Linked DNA regions of Rattus norvegicus. The protein of the gene in region 3 purifies or fractionates together with the protein of the main gene of each other region. This does not show direct contact. Links are inferred from orthologs where the notes say so. Each region holds a gene or a part of one and is shown on either strand. Other genes may lie near its edges.

The links. Proteins that work in one complex are often made in the same cells at the same time.
Region 1: the proteins of Kif5b (region 3) and Klc3 purify together in Homo sapiens (affinity purification with mass spectrometry; 3 studies listed by BioGRID and IntAct, with this or other methods). This does not show direct contact. The link is inferred for Rattus norvegicus from reciprocal best matches to the Homo sapiens genes KIF5B and KLC3.
Region 2: the proteins of Kif5b (region 3) and Klc2 fractionate together in Homo sapiens (co-fractionation; 7 studies listed by BioGRID and IntAct, with this or other methods). This does not show direct contact. The link is inferred for Rattus norvegicus from reciprocal best matches to the Homo sapiens genes KIF5B and KLC2.
Region 4: the proteins of Kif5b (region 3) and Klc4 purify together in Homo sapiens (affinity purification with mass spectrometry; 4 studies listed by BioGRID and IntAct, with this or other methods). This does not show direct contact. The link is inferred for Rattus norvegicus from reciprocal best matches to the Homo sapiens genes KIF5B and KLC4.

Annotation. Positions count from the first base shown.
Region 1 is NC_086019.1:88,180,613-88,184,630, reverse strand, and holds the start of Klc3 (kinesin light chain 3), read left to right. Parts: upstream 1-1,208; 5' UTR 1,209-1,237; intron 1,238-4,018. UniProt on the Homo sapiens protein: Kinesin is a microtubule-associated force-producing protein that may play a role in organelle transport. Plays a role during spermiogenesis in the development of the sperm tail midpiece and in the normal function of spermatozoa.
Region 2 is NC_086019.1:211,851,151-211,854,693, forward strand, and holds the start of Klc2 (kinesin light chain 2), read right to left. Parts: upstream 2,066-3,543; intron 2,036-2,065; 5' UTR 2,025-2,035; coding exon 1,797-2,024; intron 1-1,796. Other genes in the region: WW domain-binding protein 11-like, read left to right, coding at 2,456-3,112. UniProt on the Homo sapiens protein: Kinesin is a microtubule-associated force-producing protein that plays a role in organelle transport. The light chain functions in coupling of cargo to the heavy chain or in the modulation of its ATPase activity.
Region 3 is NC_086035.1:56,183,997-56,188,188, forward strand, and holds the start of Kif5b (kinesin-1 heavy chain), read left to right. Parts: upstream 1-1,389; 5' UTR 1,390-1,792; coding exon 1,793-1,918; intron 1,919-4,192. UniProt on the Homo sapiens protein: Microtubule-dependent motor required for normal distribution of mitochondria and lysosomes. Can induce formation of neurite-like membrane protrusions in non-neuronal cells in a ZFYVE27-dependent manner.
Region 4 is NC_086027.1:21,833,877-21,837,944, reverse strand, and holds the start of Klc4 (kinesin light chain 4), read right to left. Parts: upstream 2,811-4,068; 5' UTR 2,577-2,810; exon of another isoform or gene 2,566-2,576; intron 2,209-2,565; 5' UTR 2,136-2,208; intron 1,560-2,135; 5' UTR 1,554-1,559; coding exon 1,296-1,553; intron 1-1,295. Other genes in the region: Mrpl2 (large ribosomal subunit protein uL2m precursor), read left to right, coding at 3,371-3,466.

The sequences.
Region 1 (4,018 bases), on a different chromosome or scaffold from region 3:
CACATGTTCCATCCATGCATGTGGAGGCCAGGCTCTCCTTGGACGACTCCTGAACAATTCCCAGGAGTCAGTTTTCAGGCTCCATTTGGTTCTTGGAGATGAAACTCAGGTTCTCAAGCATGGCAGATAGCGTTTTTACTACCGTCTTGTCAGCCGGAAAGAAACTGTTGTGTAAGGTTCTGAGGTTGCAATTATTGAAACAGTATTTTTGGAGGTTTTTATCTTTATGTGCATGCTGTGTCTGTGGAGGCCCTGGAAGAGGGTGCTGAATCCCCCGGAACTAGAGTTACAGATGATTTTGAGCAACATGTGTGGGTTCTGGGAATTGAACCTGGGTCCTCTGCAAAAGCAGCCAGCGTTCTTACCTTAGGAGCCATCCTTCCAGCCCCTTCAAGAAAGTTCTTTTTTTCTTTTTTCTTTTTTTCGGAGCTGGGGACCGAACCCAAGGCCTTGCGCTTGCTAGGCAAGCGCTCTACCACTGAGCTAAATCCCCAACCCAAGAAAGTTTTAATTACGTTTTTATGTGTTTACTTCATATGTGTGAACGTATGACTGTACACATGTAGAAGTCAGAAGACAACATGTGAGAGCCCGTCTCTGTCCACCCTGAGGGTCTCAGGGATGGAACTCAGCCCCTCAGGATTGGCGGTAAGCACCTTTACTGTCTGAGCCTTCTCGCAGGACCCCAGACAGAGTTTACAAAAGTTCTTAAACTGCAGGCTTCTCCTACTGCAGCGGCGTAGGGCGTGCCCTGAGCACCTACAGGGGCGTGGCCTCCACCCGCCCCCGCCCCACCCCGATCCTAGACTGAGGATTTCTCAATGTGTGTCGACCGAGGGCGTGGCCTGCGCACCTGCGGGGGCGTGGCCTTGCCCTGCCCCATCCCCCTCAGGAGCCTCCCGGACCAGCGGCTTCGCAGCGGGAGCAGTCGGGTCTCCGCGCAGCGAGGCGGTTCAGACCGGCGGCCGTCAGGTGGGCACGGGAGACGGCGGCGGCTGCTTCGGGATTCCCGAGGGGGCCGCAGGGATGGAGAGAAGGGGCTATGGGTCTGGCGGCTCGGATGAGCCTCGGGGTCCCCGCGGGGCCCTGCCCCGCCCCTAGCCGGGTAGAAAAACAGCTGCGGGCGGGGCGGGGCCTTGTGACGCGAAGTACGGTGCAGGGTCTCCGCGGCCAGGGGAGAGGCTGGCGCGCTGTTGGAGAGTCCCCAGCTGCAGCCTGAGAGTGCAAGACGTGCATGGTGAGGGAGCCTGCGCGGGGGTGTGCAAAGAGAGGGAGTAAGGCAAGGGACACTGTGGAAACTGAGGCGGGGAGAACGGAGTTGAAGGCGAGCCTAGGCTTCGTACTCAAGGGAGACAGGAGGGTGGATTGTGGGTACAAGTGTCAAAGGGAGGAAGAAAAAGAAAAGGGGGAGAGAACCAACAAGGAGAGTAAAAGCACTTGTTGCCAAACTGTCAATTTCTCGAGTTTGGTCTGCAGGATCCACAAGGTGGGAGAAAAGAATGGACTCCCTTAAGTTGCAAGTTGTCCTCTGACCTTCCATGTGCCTCTGCCATACATAAAGGGAAAAAAATTAAATAAGGACCAGGCATCATGATGCACACCTTTAATCACAGCACTTGGGGGTGGGGGGTGGGGGCACAGAGGCAGATGGATTTCTGAATTTGAGGCCAGGTTGAGGGAATTCCAGGACAGCCAGGGCTACATAGAGAAGCTCTGTTTATATATTAAAGAAACTCTGTATCAATATATACATATATATACATATGTATATGTAAATTATATATCTTTTTTAAAGTAAGAAAGATTGTGGGTAAGAGTGTAAGAGTGTAAAAGGGAGATAGGTTACCATGTCACTCTGATGGGGACAGACCGAGTGAATGTAGGTGATCTTGTCTAATTGTCTCTGTGTGTGTGTGTGTGTGTGTGTGTGTGTGTGTGTTACATGTGGACTGTGCACAGTACTGAGCATGTGCGACTGAGATGCTGAGTCTGTGATCAGCTCTGTACTTGAGGCTGATTCACACGTATGACCATGGGTGACAGGGAATGGGCTGCCTAATGGGGTTGGATCTAGGTGTTATGTGACAGTTGGGGTGGAGTGTGTGGAATTGTGTCAGCGATATGTGACTGTCACTGACTAACTGTTGACTTTCTGGTTGTGTATCCCTGGGGTGGGGATCTGTGTGTGGGGGGGTATGAGTGTGACTGTGTCTGCAAGCTGGGGTTTGCATAGGTGTGTGTGTGTGCGTGCACGCTGTGTGCCTGCTGTGGACTGGTGAAACTCTCATGGGGCTCCTGTGAATGCTGGGGACAGCTCGAGTGGCAGATGGCTGCAGCTGAGCTGTGGCTGTCCCATGATTGTTGATCTGGGTATCAAGCTGTGGGAAGCTGCATATGGAGCAAAGGCTTCCTTGGGTCTGAGATTGTGCCATGGGGTGGTGACCCTGGCCACACTGGGGCAGAATGACTGGAGTCAGGATGGCTCACCCTGAGCTTGTGTGGTAAAGAGACTGACTACATGGTTTGTGAGGTTGAGCCCACTCGGGTTCCACACGCTCTCACCATGACCTTATTTATGTGTCTCTATATATGGTTTTGGTTTTGTTTGTAGAGATGAAGTGACCCTGAACACCGGATCCTCCCATTTCTTTTCTTTTCTTTTTTTTTTTTTTCCGGAGCTGAGGACCGAACCCAGGGCCTTGTGCTTGCTAGGCAAGCGCTCTACCACTGAGCTAAATCCCCAACCCCGATCCTCCCATTTCTGACTCTGAGTATTGGGATGACAGGTGGGAGAGGCCACATCTGGGGAGAAGTTGAAATGATTTTTTGGTTTTGTTTTGGTTTTGGTTTTTAGACAGAACTCACTCTGTAGACCAGGCTGGCTTTGGACTCAACGAAATCTTCCTGCCTCTGCCTCCTGAGTTGCTGGGCTTAAAGGTGTGACCACCATTCCTCTCCAGAGTCATAACCTGGTGGTACCCAGTTAGACCATTGGAATTAAGGTTTTGACTTTTTTTTTTTTTTTCCAGAGCTGGGGACTGAACCCAGGGCCTTGCGCTTGCTAGGCAAGTGCTCTACCACTGAGCTAAATCCCCAACCCCAAGGTTTTGACTTTTTAAAGCCTTTGGAAAAGCTGCTCACAAAGTAGAAAGTGTATTTCAGAGTTTGAAGTTGGGTCTCTTTTTGGGCTGGAATGCTGCAGGAGCACACACACACACACACACACACACACACACACGCACATGCATACACACGCACATGCATACACACACACACCTACTTGTTACTCTGAGATTTAGAAAACGCTGCTTCAGGCAGTCCCAAAATCATCAGAGGAAGTGGGGTGGGCACTGGACTCTGTGTGGAGCAGAGGATTATCTCTTTAAAAACTACATGTATTCAGCCCAACAGAGGTGGCTCATGCCTTTAATCCCAGCTCTTGGGAGGTAGAGGCAGGTGAATCTCTGAGTTCAAGGCCAGCCGGGTCTATAGAGTGAGTTCCAGGACAGCTAGGGCTACGCAGAGAAACGCTGTGTTGGAAACCAAACAAACAATAAACAAGCCCTCGACTAGTGCTGTCTGCCTGTACCAGTGCTTGAGGCGGCACAGGAAGGTTTAGCCAAGGATGGCTTGGAACCCCGATTTGAGAGCTCAGATCCCAGATTTGTACCATATGCCCATCCATCAACTTTTTATTTTTCCCTTATGGTATTAGGGATGGAATCCAGGGCCTTGGCAATGTTTGTCTAGCTGTGTTCCCAGTGTCTCCTTTTTCTTTTAAGATTTTTTTCTTTTTGAGGCAGAGTTTTTCTGTGTAGCTCTGGCTATCCTGGAACTCGAATTGTAGTCCAGGCTGGCCTGAACTCAGAGAGGCCTCTGCCTCCCACGTGTTGGGATTAAAAACGTGCCACTACCCCTTGCTACGATTTATTTTTATTTTATGTACATGAGCGTTTGCTTACAAGCATGTGTGTGCAGGAGGTGTGTGCAATACCCACATGGCCAGAAGAGGGCGTCA
Region 2 (3,543 bases), on a different chromosome or scaffold from region 3:
TTTAATTCCAGCACTCAGGAGGCAGGTGGATCTCTGTGAGTTCATGGCCAGCTTGGTCTACATAGTGAGTTCCAGGATAGTTAGGGCTATGTAGAGACCCTGTCTCAAAACCAAAACAAACAAGTCCTCGACGACCTGGAAGTACATACAGTACACGGCACAGCCACTATGTTTTTTTGGGGGGTGGGGGAGGGGTCGAGGGGTTGGTTTGGGTTTTTGAGACAGTTTTTCTGTCTGTCCTGGAACTCATTCTGTAGACAAGGCTGGCCTTGAATTTAAGAGATTTGTCTGGGGGCTGGGGATTTAGCTCAGTGGTAGAGCGCTTGCCTAGGAAGCGCAAGGCCCTGGGTTCAGTCCCCAGCTCCGAAAAAAAGAACCAAAAAAAAAAAAAAAAAAAAAGAGATCTGTCTGTCTCTGCTTCCCAAGAGCTGGGATTAAAGGTATGTGCCACCATGCCTGGCTTGCTTCTTTTTTTTTTCCGGAGCTGGGGACCCGAACTCAGGGCCTTGCGCTTGCTCTACCACTGAGCTAAATCCCCAACCCCCTGGCTTGCTATTTTAAAGACAAAGAAATCAAGACAATACAAGCTCTCTGGATCCAGGCAGTGGATTGGCTAAGAACCAATGAGAACAAAACCCTTCCCTATCTAACAGCCCACTATATGGGGACCTCAACAGAACTCCTAAAAGCTCCATAGCCTTACATCCCTAAACTTGCTAAAAGCACAAACACCCAGGAGTTGTGCTGCTCCTCTGACCTTCATCCCCAGGTCCTGTTGAGCCTCCTTCCAGAATATCTAGAACTGGTGTCTCCTTGGCTACCCCTCTAATTCAAACTTCCATCTATTTGGAGCCTAGCAGTGGCTTCCTAATCACTTGTTCCAAGAGTCCATCCTTGACCTACTAAAGTTAACTTTCCATAGTTCATAAAGAAATTTCAGAAGTTAAGTCAGACTACATCTTCTGCTTGTTAGTACCCTCCACTGACTTCCTGACAGCCTGGACATATTCTGGCTCCTGCTTCCACAAAGGCCTCGAGTGCCCCTTTCTCCCTCTCCGTTATACTAGTCTTGTCTCACTTCAGCACATGGACTTTTCCTACCTTTCCTACACACGCAGCTCTCCTCTAGTTGCCTCTTCTGGAGGCCAGCCCGTTTCTTCCCTCAGTGCTTGAGTTAAAGTCCTCTCAGAGAAGTATTGTTTGAGCGATAGACAAGACTCCCTTCTATAAACTATCACGAGATCTTGTTGTCCTTGGGGCACCGATCACAATTTGCTTCAAGTAATTAGTTGACTATGTGTGCGTGTTTTTCTTCTGTTGTATTAGGGGAAAATCATCTTAATTTGTTTTGGAGGGAGCAGTAAGCTGAACCAGGACTGGCCTGGAGCTTGGAACCTTACTGCTTTCACCTCTCAAGTGCTGGGATTACAGACACCATGCCCAGTGAGGACAAAGATCTTGTCTGCCTTGCTGACCTCTGCATCCTCAGCGTTAACATACTGCCATGGCACATGCTAAATGATAAGCTATAGAACTTAATGAATTAATGCATAATTGAATTGTGAAGGGAGGTTACTAAAGCATTTCTGTTTTCTTCTGTCATCCAGTCTGTTAGGTAGAATGAGGCCTGAATGGCACAGCTCTGTGTAAGGTGGCATTTCCAAAGTGTATTCATTTAACATTACTTATTGTCCTAACGTGACGCTCTAAGAGATAAGTGTTTCCTTGCTGAGGGTATTCCTACATTACCAGGACCCTTCCAGTAATCTTCCACCATAGCCCCAACACTGACCTACCTGAGCCTCCCCAAGCCCCAGCTCGATGGCCTCCAGGGAGCGGCGCAGGAGGAGGCAGCGCTCCTGTGAGCCCGGCTCGGCCTCGCCTGCCTCATGAGAAGCTAGGGGAGCTAGCAGGGCACGATGCTCCCCTCGAAGGGTCTCTAAACCCTGGATAACCGCCTTGGTGCCCAGTACTATCTCGTCCTGACTCAGCTTCTCCTCTCGAGGAAGCACCATCGTGGCCATGGTCTTGCGGTCTGTGGAGGCAAGGGGTGGGGCAGGCGGACGCCGGGCCTGGGGCCATACCGCCGTCCACCCCAAGTTAGGTAAACACCTGGAGGTCCCCAGACGCCCAGGTCCCAAAGGGTGTACAGATCCCTCAGCCCGCAGTCCTCGCGGTGCCCGCACGCGACCTACAGGGGGCGCGTCAGGCTCGTCTAGCCTAGGGAGACGCATTGCGGTGTGGCTGAAGTGAGGCTGGACCCTGATTCCGCCCCGACCACCGGCTCAGGCCAGTTTATGTAAAGCCCAGCCTTGGGGTTTTTTTCCGGAACTGTCCTAATCAAGACGCAGAGCACTAGGGCATTGTAAGGCGTTCCCAAGTCAGAAACTACAGGCCCTCCGGGCTACTGGGTCTCAGCCCGGGCTACAGCCCCTTCCCCAGGGCAACCGGAACCATGACCCCCTCCCCCAGGGCAGACGGAGCCCAGACACCGGGTCCCCGCCTCCACCCTCCAGGGAGGCTGCGGTCTTCAGTTTCGGGACAGGTTTCTGCAGGCCGCGCCCACAACGACCCCTCCCACAGGCTGGCCAAAGGCCTGCGGACCCTCCCTAGAAAAGGCCTAATTCCCAACCCCAGCCCAGGACCGCGCCCCCTCCCCGCAGACCGGTCGGGTCCTCCCACAGGCCGCGCCCACGACGACTCCTCCTCTAGGCCGACCTGCAACCGCTTCTCACCGTCCGGCCTGACCGGGTCTCCCGGCCCAACCGGCCCGCGCCGACCTGCACCTTCTGCTTTGGTCCGGCTCTGGCTCTTGCTCCTGTCCCGCTTCACCCGGATCCTCGACCGTGAGCTCGTCTCGCTGCCTCCATCCCGCCGGCCTTCCCAGCAGTCCCCGCGCCGCCTTAAAGGTGAAGCCGCTACCTCGGCGGCGTCGGAGGGGGCGAAACACGTTCCAGCCGGCCAGCTCGCTGCCTTAAAGGGGCCCCATGGGCCTGGCCGGCTTCGGGGTGGGGCCAACCCAGACAGGACGCAGAAGGGGCGTGGCTGGACTCGCCCCTCCGACCAGAGCTTCCTGGTCTGGGGCGTTCAGAGTCGGGACCCGCATGACTGAGGATCAAGGAAAAGGCCGACCTCCTCAGATTCCAGAGCGAATCAGTCCCTATTGATTGACGGCTATTTGTCCAATGTTTTTGTTGATGTCTTAGTGCATTAACAGTGCTCACACAAAGGGCTGTGAGGTGGGTGCTGTCATTACCCCCCTCTCACGCATCTGACTTTACCCTCGCCTCCGTGCTTTTTTATCTCTAGAGACGCACCTCTTTCAGGCTTCGGAGTTGATTGTATCTCTAGGGAATTCTCAGCATCTAGGTTTGCTTTGTGAGGGAACAGAAGGAGGCTTCTGGTTAAAAGGGAGAAAGAGGTGGAAAGGAGCATGTGGAGATCGGTGGGGTAGGGAGAAGACCCATGTCCCTGAAGGGAACATTGGGTGGATACTGCTGACCAGATAATGAGGTCAGACTAGTGTCTTTGGTTTGCAGTGGT
Region 3 (4,192 bases):
GCCTTGCCTGGAGCCTCTCAGAACACGGGGTCATTTAAGTTGTATCCACATTCCACACTTCCAAGGCCTGTGATAAAGCCCTACTTTGCTTGATTTCTAAGATTCTCCACTGCAACTGAGCTCTTTTCCTCCATTGCAGAAGGCCAATCAAGCTGGATCTATTAAACTCTGGATTTGTTTCTGGAGGTGCTAGGATGTTCCAGTGAGCTCAGCAGGTCATTTACCCAGCCAAGTCTGAAAACCAGAAAAAAGGTTTCTAAATGTTGTTGAAGTTTTCCCTTGCAGCACCTCAGAACCATTTCCACATAGAGTTTTTGTGGTATTTATCTTCGGAAAAGAGAATGCTAAGTCATTTGTTTTTTAAGTGCAAGTGGTGGTTGAAGCCAGGGCCTCCTGCTTTCTAAGCAAGCACACTAGCAGACTTATGACTCCAGCCCGGGGAGTGGTTTTCTTAGATATGTAACCCAACGTATTAATATCTAGGTCAGTGTTTCTCAACCTTCCTAATGCTGAGACCCATTAATACAGTTCATGTTGTGGTGACCCCAAGCATAAAATTATTTCATCACTATTTCATAACTATAATTTTGCTACTGTTATAGATAGCAATATAAAAACCTGCTATGTTATTCCAAAAGTGGTTGCAACCCACAGGTTGAGAACGGCCGATCTAGGCCTTTAAAGACACTCTTAAGGAACAAGTGCTACAACAGCATTCCTCTGGTGTTGCAGCTAAGTTGGGTTTCCCATTGGTCAGGGAAGTGGGACCTCAAATTCACCAAATACCTTTGGGAAACAGTGGCTCACCTGTCAAGTGATGTCAAGCTCGGGGCAGCTAAAGGTGACAAGTGACGGGGAGGTTCTTCTTCCAACCCACCCAGCAGTTCCATATTTCTTGGAAAACTTCTCACATTACCTGAAAGAAACTTCCCCCTTCTTTGTTATGTCTGAACAATGCTCGCGGGGTGGGTTACTGCTGCACCCCGGCCATGCCCCACCCTAAATTCAAATCTCCCCGGTTTTGGCAAGGCGATCTAAAACAGAAACAAAATAAAACCCAAGGGTGCATCAGTAATCATTTTTTCTCTAAGGCCAAATGAAAGCACTCTTCTTTTTAGGGATCTGGTCTCAAACTAAATTGAACATCACCATTAACTGGTTAAAACTAACTTCTCCAAAGAAAAAGAGATAAGTAAACCTTCCTGTGCTCTGAGAAATTCTGTAGCGGCCTTGGCGCTATTCAACTTGCAGGAAAACTCGATCTGAAGTCCTAAACCAGCAGCTGAGGTGGAGCCGGCCATAGCCGGCGGCCGGTCGCAGGCTTGGATTGGCTGCTGGGCGTCGCCCCGCGCCTGCGCAGTGTTCCGCCCGCCCGCCCAGCTTGCCGCCAGCCTGGGCACTAAGGCCTTTGAGGGTGTGAGTGTCAGCTGGCCCGGAGGCCGGCGAGCTGCCGGGACAGGATAGTGGGCCGAGCCATAGGCCCCGGCTGTCCCTCCCGGAAAGAAAAGAAGGAGCCGCTCGCCAGTCCCGGCAGCCTGCAGAGATCGGTGAGGGAGACGCTGAGGAGCACTGAGGCGCTGTGGGCGCTGCCGCCATGACCGCCATGATGGAGCGGAAGTGAACTAAGGGCGCGGGCTGCCGGTGATAGCGCTTTGGTCTAGCTGCCTGGGGCTCGCAGCGCTGCGGAGCCCGGGCCTTCGGGTCCTCGCGACCCCTGCTTCTTGGCTCCCGTCGCTTATCCCACTGAGCGGCGGGGAGTGGCTCCCGGCCTGCAGTCCCGGCTGCCAGAAAGATGGCGGACCCGGCGGAGTGCAACATCAAAGTGATGTGTCGCTTCAGACCTCTCAACGAGTCTGAAGTGAACCGCGGCGACAAGTATGTCGCCAAGTTCCAGGGAGAAGACACGGTGATGATTGCGGTGAGTGGCCCTGTCCCCACGTCACTCGGGGTCGGGCAGGGCGGTGAGTTCTGGGACGTGGCCGGTCGCAAGGACCAGAGGGAGCAGGGAGTGCTCATTCTCCCGAGCCGGGTTTGCGGGTTCACACGGCCAGGGAGGAACGAGCTATGTTGAGGCAACTCTGTGAAGGTTCGAGGATCACCCCCCACCCCAGTGCTAAGCTCTGGCAGCTGGGAGGTGTCTTGTTTCTCAGTCTGGACACTCCCCCACCTGGGGCTCTGGAGGCTACGTCCCAGGAGCTAGTTTAGTGCACGTTCACTCGCGCGCTCGTGTGTGTGTAGATATGCTTGTTTCTCACATGTTCACCCTCTCTGTTTTTCATGTTAACAGTAATTGGGAAATTGAAGTCTGTAAAAAGAGCTAGTGGCTTTTCATTGAAATTAGAGTTAATTGTCTCTAATGTTATAGGAGGTCTAAGTAGATTTAGATTGGGCCAAATAAGTGTCAGAAAGATCTAGAATTTCATTCTTTAGCGTGTTTTAACATTGTAGGAAAGATAGGTATAACGGAGACATAGTGTTGTAAAGACCTTATGGGAATCTAATCACCGTTATTAGATTCATGTTAATACAGATATAGTCTATCTTAAAGGAAATTGATCATGGTAATCTGAGAGGCAGCAACTACTCCATTGTAGTGTAAAATGTAACTGAGCTGATTGATTATTATTAGAAAAACCTGAAAGGGAAGATTTTTTTTTTATATAGCTAGCATTGCAGATTCTCCGAAAACAGCATTCTGAGTTCAAGATTAAAAGTGACTGATAAGATTGCCTCTATATACAGAACAGCAAGCTAAACTAAAAAGTAAGCGCATCATTAGTGATGATGCCATGGGCATTGCTATTAGGATTCAATTGTTAATGTCAGTTTTACTCGTAATTGTTTGTTCTTGAGTAGAAATCTATATTTAGTATATTGTTTGAGCTACTTAATTTAGAAATAGGGCAGAGAGGTCACGGAAGACTGGCCATTGATGATTGAAAGCATTGGCCTGATGGTAATACTAAAGTTCTCTAGTGGGTGTGTTAATGTGAAGGTTTTCAAAGTTCAGTTTGGGAAATGTACTACATCCTCCTGGTAGGGTTATGGCAGGAAAAAAAAGTATATATATCAGGTCACTAACCCCAACTACTGCTGTGTGAAGACTGTCAGGCCAGTTCTTTGTTAATGAGTTCTCAAGATGCTCTTGCTATAAAAGACATCATAGTAAAGAAGGGAAGTTAATTGAGCATAGGAATTCTGTTCTTTAGTGCACAGAGACCAGAGTGGAAGGTGGTTAGGTGTATGTTGTGCCTGCAGTCCTTAGCAGATTAGTTCCCAACTTGAGGCTTCTTATTCCTTAGCATCTCTGATTATTCAGTTTTAGCAATGATTTATACAATAAAGATATATTTCATTTGCCACTATTATTAAGATGGTCTTAATTCTCTGAGTTTTTGTGCATGCTTTAAAAATTTTGTAAATATCACTAAGATTTGTTTTGCTTGGAATGCCAAAATTTAAGATTTTGTATTAAGTTTATGTAATCATAGCACGTGTGAGCCTGAGACAAGAGGATTGTGGCCATAATACATGCAACAAAAGATAGCCCCCACTACAGAAAACACATTTATTTTAGGTCCTTTCCTTTGGGAAAAGTTATCATGATTTCTGTTTGAAAGTTTCTGTAATACAAGTGGGTTTAACCAATGAATAGAAACTTAGGTAGAGGATGAGTAAAAAGTATAGGGGAAAGTACATTTTAAAACTAAAGGAAACATTGAGGACACTAAAAAGATACTTAATATATTTCAATTATTGTTTTAGAAATTGATTTCTTACATGTATTACCCATATTTATATGATGAAGTCTTTGTGTTCAATTTTTAAAAGACTATTTAAGAAGTTATAAGGGGTTTAAGGAATGAAATGAAAGTCTCTATGCCAAAGAGCCAGATTGAAAAAAATTGTAAAAACATGATTTATTTAACTTAATTTATTGGATCCTAAACATGATAAATTAGAACTAGTTTAGGAGAGAATTGCAACAGCATAGCATGTAAAACTAGAGTGTTTTAAGTATGATATTTAGGTATTTTGTTCATTATCTTTAAGTTAAGTCAAAATTTAAGATCTAAATGTGTTAGTTTATAATGTCAACTGAGTGGTAGTCACTGTTCAGATAAAAAATAATTGGATAGAAAATAATTGGGGATTCTGCTTTTCTTCTAAGTTTAGCTTTTAATATTTTGCC
Region 4 (4,068 bases), on a different chromosome or scaffold from region 3:
TGGCTCACAGCCACCTGTAACTCCAGTTCCAGAGGCTCCAATGGCCTCTTCTGGCCTCTGCACATACTAGATTACAGGTAGCATATACTCATAGATGCAGACAAAACACCTGTATATATAAAATAAATGAATGGAATTAAAAAAGAGAAATACTCGGGCTGGAGCGATGGGTCAGAGGCTCAGAGCACTGACCGCTCTTCCAGAGGTCCTGAGTTTAATTCCCAGCACCCACATGGTGACTCACAACCATCTGTAATGGGATCCAATGCTGTCTTCTGGTGTGTCTGAAGAGAGTGACAGTATACTCATATACATAAAATAAATAACTAAATCCATAAATGAATGAACGGAATTAAATACATAAACTAACCCCAGCTGCCAGCACCCCTATTGTTTTCATCAGATGCCAAACTGCCAGTTCCTACCTAGACAATAGCAGCCTCTCCCAGGCCTCCCTGTCTCTGTTAGTCTCTAGTTCTACTCTCTCCCAGGCTGAGTCCCATCCCTCCTCAGACGTCCCAACAGCTCCCATCTCTCTCAACAGACAAGCAAAAAACCCCAGGACAGCCTGCCGGCTCCACACTATCTGTGGATGTCTCTGATGGGATCCTTCCTCCTCCGGAGTGATCTACTGTGTCCCCTCACTCACTGTGTACCCTGTAGAAAGCCACACCAGCGCTGTAAATCACTAAATTCACCCCAGGCTCCACGCAAAGCCTTTGCACCTGTCCTACCTGCTTGGAACCCTTTATCCCATGACTTCCTTTTTCACCCTCAAATCTTTGCTCAAAAGTGAGGTTATTTTATGACCAATCTGTGTGAAAATGCATCCTCTTCCTACTTCCCTCCTTTCTTAAAGATTTATTTATTTTATGTCTATGACTACATTCTCTTCAGACATACCAGAAGAGGGCATCGGGTCCCATTACAGATGGTTGTGAGCCACCATTGCTGGGAATTGAACTCAGGACCTCTGGAAGAGCAGCCAGCGCCATCTCTCCAGCTCCTTCCCTTCTGTCTTTGTCTTTGTTCTGTCCTCAGCAATGATTACTCTGGCACAGTAAATCATTTACTTATGGACCTGTGTTCTAGCTATCCCCCCAGCTATAATATCAGCTCAGAGAGGAATTACTCAGTGTTGTTCTGTAATGCACCACCAGCATTCACAAGAGTTGAGACACACAGTAGTCACTTAATGAATATTTAATGAATTAACAAATCCAAGTTTCTAGGACAAGGTGACCCCAAACTTGCATCAGATAACTGGAACACTTGGTATCACCCCTGATTCTTACCTGGGCCTCGCTGAGTCCCAGCTCAATGTTCTCCATAGACCGTCGCAGCTGCCGGGCTTTCTCATGCACCAGTCCTTCCTCATGGCCTCCCTGTTGCAGACACTCGATGGTGTGGGACAGGCTCTGTAGCACAGCCTGGTGCTCACTGTGTAGGGACTCCAGCCCTTGGCTCACCAACCTGGTACTGCCCAAGATCTCCTCTTGACTGAGCCGGTGCCCTGCAGGCTCATCCCGCTGCCCCAATACCAGGCCTGACATCCTCAGCTAAAGAGAAACCACAGAGTTCAGGTGGAAACGACGAAAGACACAATGTTAGAGACTGGTGGGCATCCACACGAAGGGAAGAGGATGGGAGACCCCCATGACTAAGCTGACGAAAGGGCCTAGGTAAAGAGGAGGAAATTCCACCGCACTAACCGTAAAAGTAAGGTGAGGGAGAGGAATGAACTTCAATAAAGATCTTTAGAACAATCGGGCGGGCTTAGAGCTAGAGGAATTTAGGACTTGGCAATTGGAGAGAGAGCATGGGTTAGGAAAAGGAAGCAGGGGATGTGAAGCACTGTAAGGATCACAGAGGGCGGGTGGAAGAGCTGTGCAGAAAGCACTGTCCCAATATAAAGGGGAAGGACCCAAGCTTAGTGAAGGAGGGGGAGAGGAAACAGCAGTGGTTATTACAGGGCTTGGAAGGTTGAAGGTCTTCAGACTGCATCAGCAAGGGACTAAGCCCAGCACCTCCCGACCTGCTAAACTCCTTTCCAACTAACTTTCCCAGCCCACCCCACCCCCAGAATTCAGACTGTCTTCCTACTTCCTCCAAACTCATTTCCGAAGTCTCCTTACCTGTGTACAGAGCAGAAGCCCTTGGTTTCAGGTGGCTCCCAGGCCAGAGCCCGGAAGAAACTCTGACCTGCAACTAAGGATTTAGAAGGATTTGTACTGCCCAAAGTCCAGAAGTCCGGCAGTCCCACCCCTTCTCTGTCACCACCTCACAGCCTCCCAGAGGACCTGGCACAGAGCCCCACCCAGGACAAACACCCTCCCTCCTTCAGCCTACAGGTTCTTCAGAGACTCGTACTAATGTCCCTTCTTCCTCAATCTCCTCGTTCTAGCTCTGAGGAGTTACTTTCTCCCAATAAGGGAAAGAAAGACCGATTTAATCTGAGACCTGAAGCAATGGGTGTGGTGTGCCTGTTAAAGGGAGACCTGGTTACAGATTCCCGACTGGATTACCGCAATAGCCGCCTTTCATGGCTTTGTCTGACATAATCACCTAACAGGCACCTTAAGTTGCCTCTCAAGTGCCGGATGGTCCAGGGAAGCGTAGCAGATCTGCCGTGCACAGTGGGGTCATAGAGAAAGGCGCTGAGCGCAGGCTATCCAAGCCTGGGGGCCTACAATCAGGAGTGTCTAAGGGTCCTAACTTGCCCTGAGAGCCGAGGGTAAGGACAGAAGTAAGATCTTCGAGGGCTGAGGGGAGAGGAAGGTGGAAGTGAGGGCAGAGTCGCTGACCAAGACCCGACAGCGGACAAGCTCGAGGTCACGGAGTCAGGGGTTCCCACAGGGGGCGGGGCAGGTTGTCCTACTGTCTGTCTGGACGCCGAGGGGCGGGGAAGAATCGCGGGGGGCGGAGTTTTTGAGTCAGTCTGAAGTTTTGTGTGGTTAGTAGGAAGTGACTTACTCATTTGTCCCAGAATGTGGGAATAAGAGTTAGTGTAATCTTAATTCTCAGCCCCAGGGGTACTCCCAAAGACTCACCTGCAGTCTGCTGGTCCCGCTGCCGCCTTCGTGGGTACTGCTCCTTTAAATATATCATGGCTGCCGCTCGAGGCAATTGTTTTGACGGCTCTGAGGGGCGGGGACTGTCTTCCATCATGTGACCTCAGTGCCTTCCAATGATTGGCTAAGAACTTGTTCTAGGGAGGAAAGAAAGCTTGTATCTTACGGCGCTGCACTTCTGTGCCCGCCTCTCTTACGTCATTGAAAAGCGACGGTACCCCGAATGAAACGTCATTTAAGAGCACCAGGCTCTGGGTAAAGGTAAAAGCGAGTTCTGTACGGAGGAATCTGACCATTCCATGGCCCTGTGCGCGCTGGCTAGTGCTCTGCGCTCCTTGAGCCTGGCATCCCCGGCCATTACCGCCCGGGTTCCGACTCTGCTTCCTGTTGGCCAGGTAATCCGCTTACCTGGGAAATAAAATCCGCCTGGGGTGTCAGTGATCCCTCAAGGCTAGTCGGGATCACGTGACCTTGGGTAAACTTGCCTTCATCCTTTGCTGTTTGTAAATGCTGCTCTCTCCGAAAGCTCCATTCGTCAGCGAGATACTGGCTTCCAAGTACTTTTGCAAATCTTTACTAAACAGGTTGCAATGGTAACATTAATGTGCCAACCGCAAACCAAGCAGAATAGAGGACTGAATTAAAGGAACTCCTGAAAGTTGTGCACATTTTGCAGATGAGAACACTGGTCAACAGTCTAAGTCTTACACCTTCTGGGACTTGACAGACTGACTTCAGAGCTTGCTTTTGTTTTTGCTCTCGTACTTCAAATTAAACCTAGAGCCTTGCTCATGCTGTGCACTTTTACCTCTGACCTACACACCTCACACCAGAACCAGTGCTCTTAACCATTTTAATGTGTGGATAGGTTGTGGCTGATATTAGGGAATGTCAACCAGTGGGTCTGAAGTGGGCAATGGTGAATCACAGAAAAAAAGAAATTATTGGGGTCTGGAGAGATGGCTCAGTGGTTAAGAGCATTGACTGTTCTTCCAGA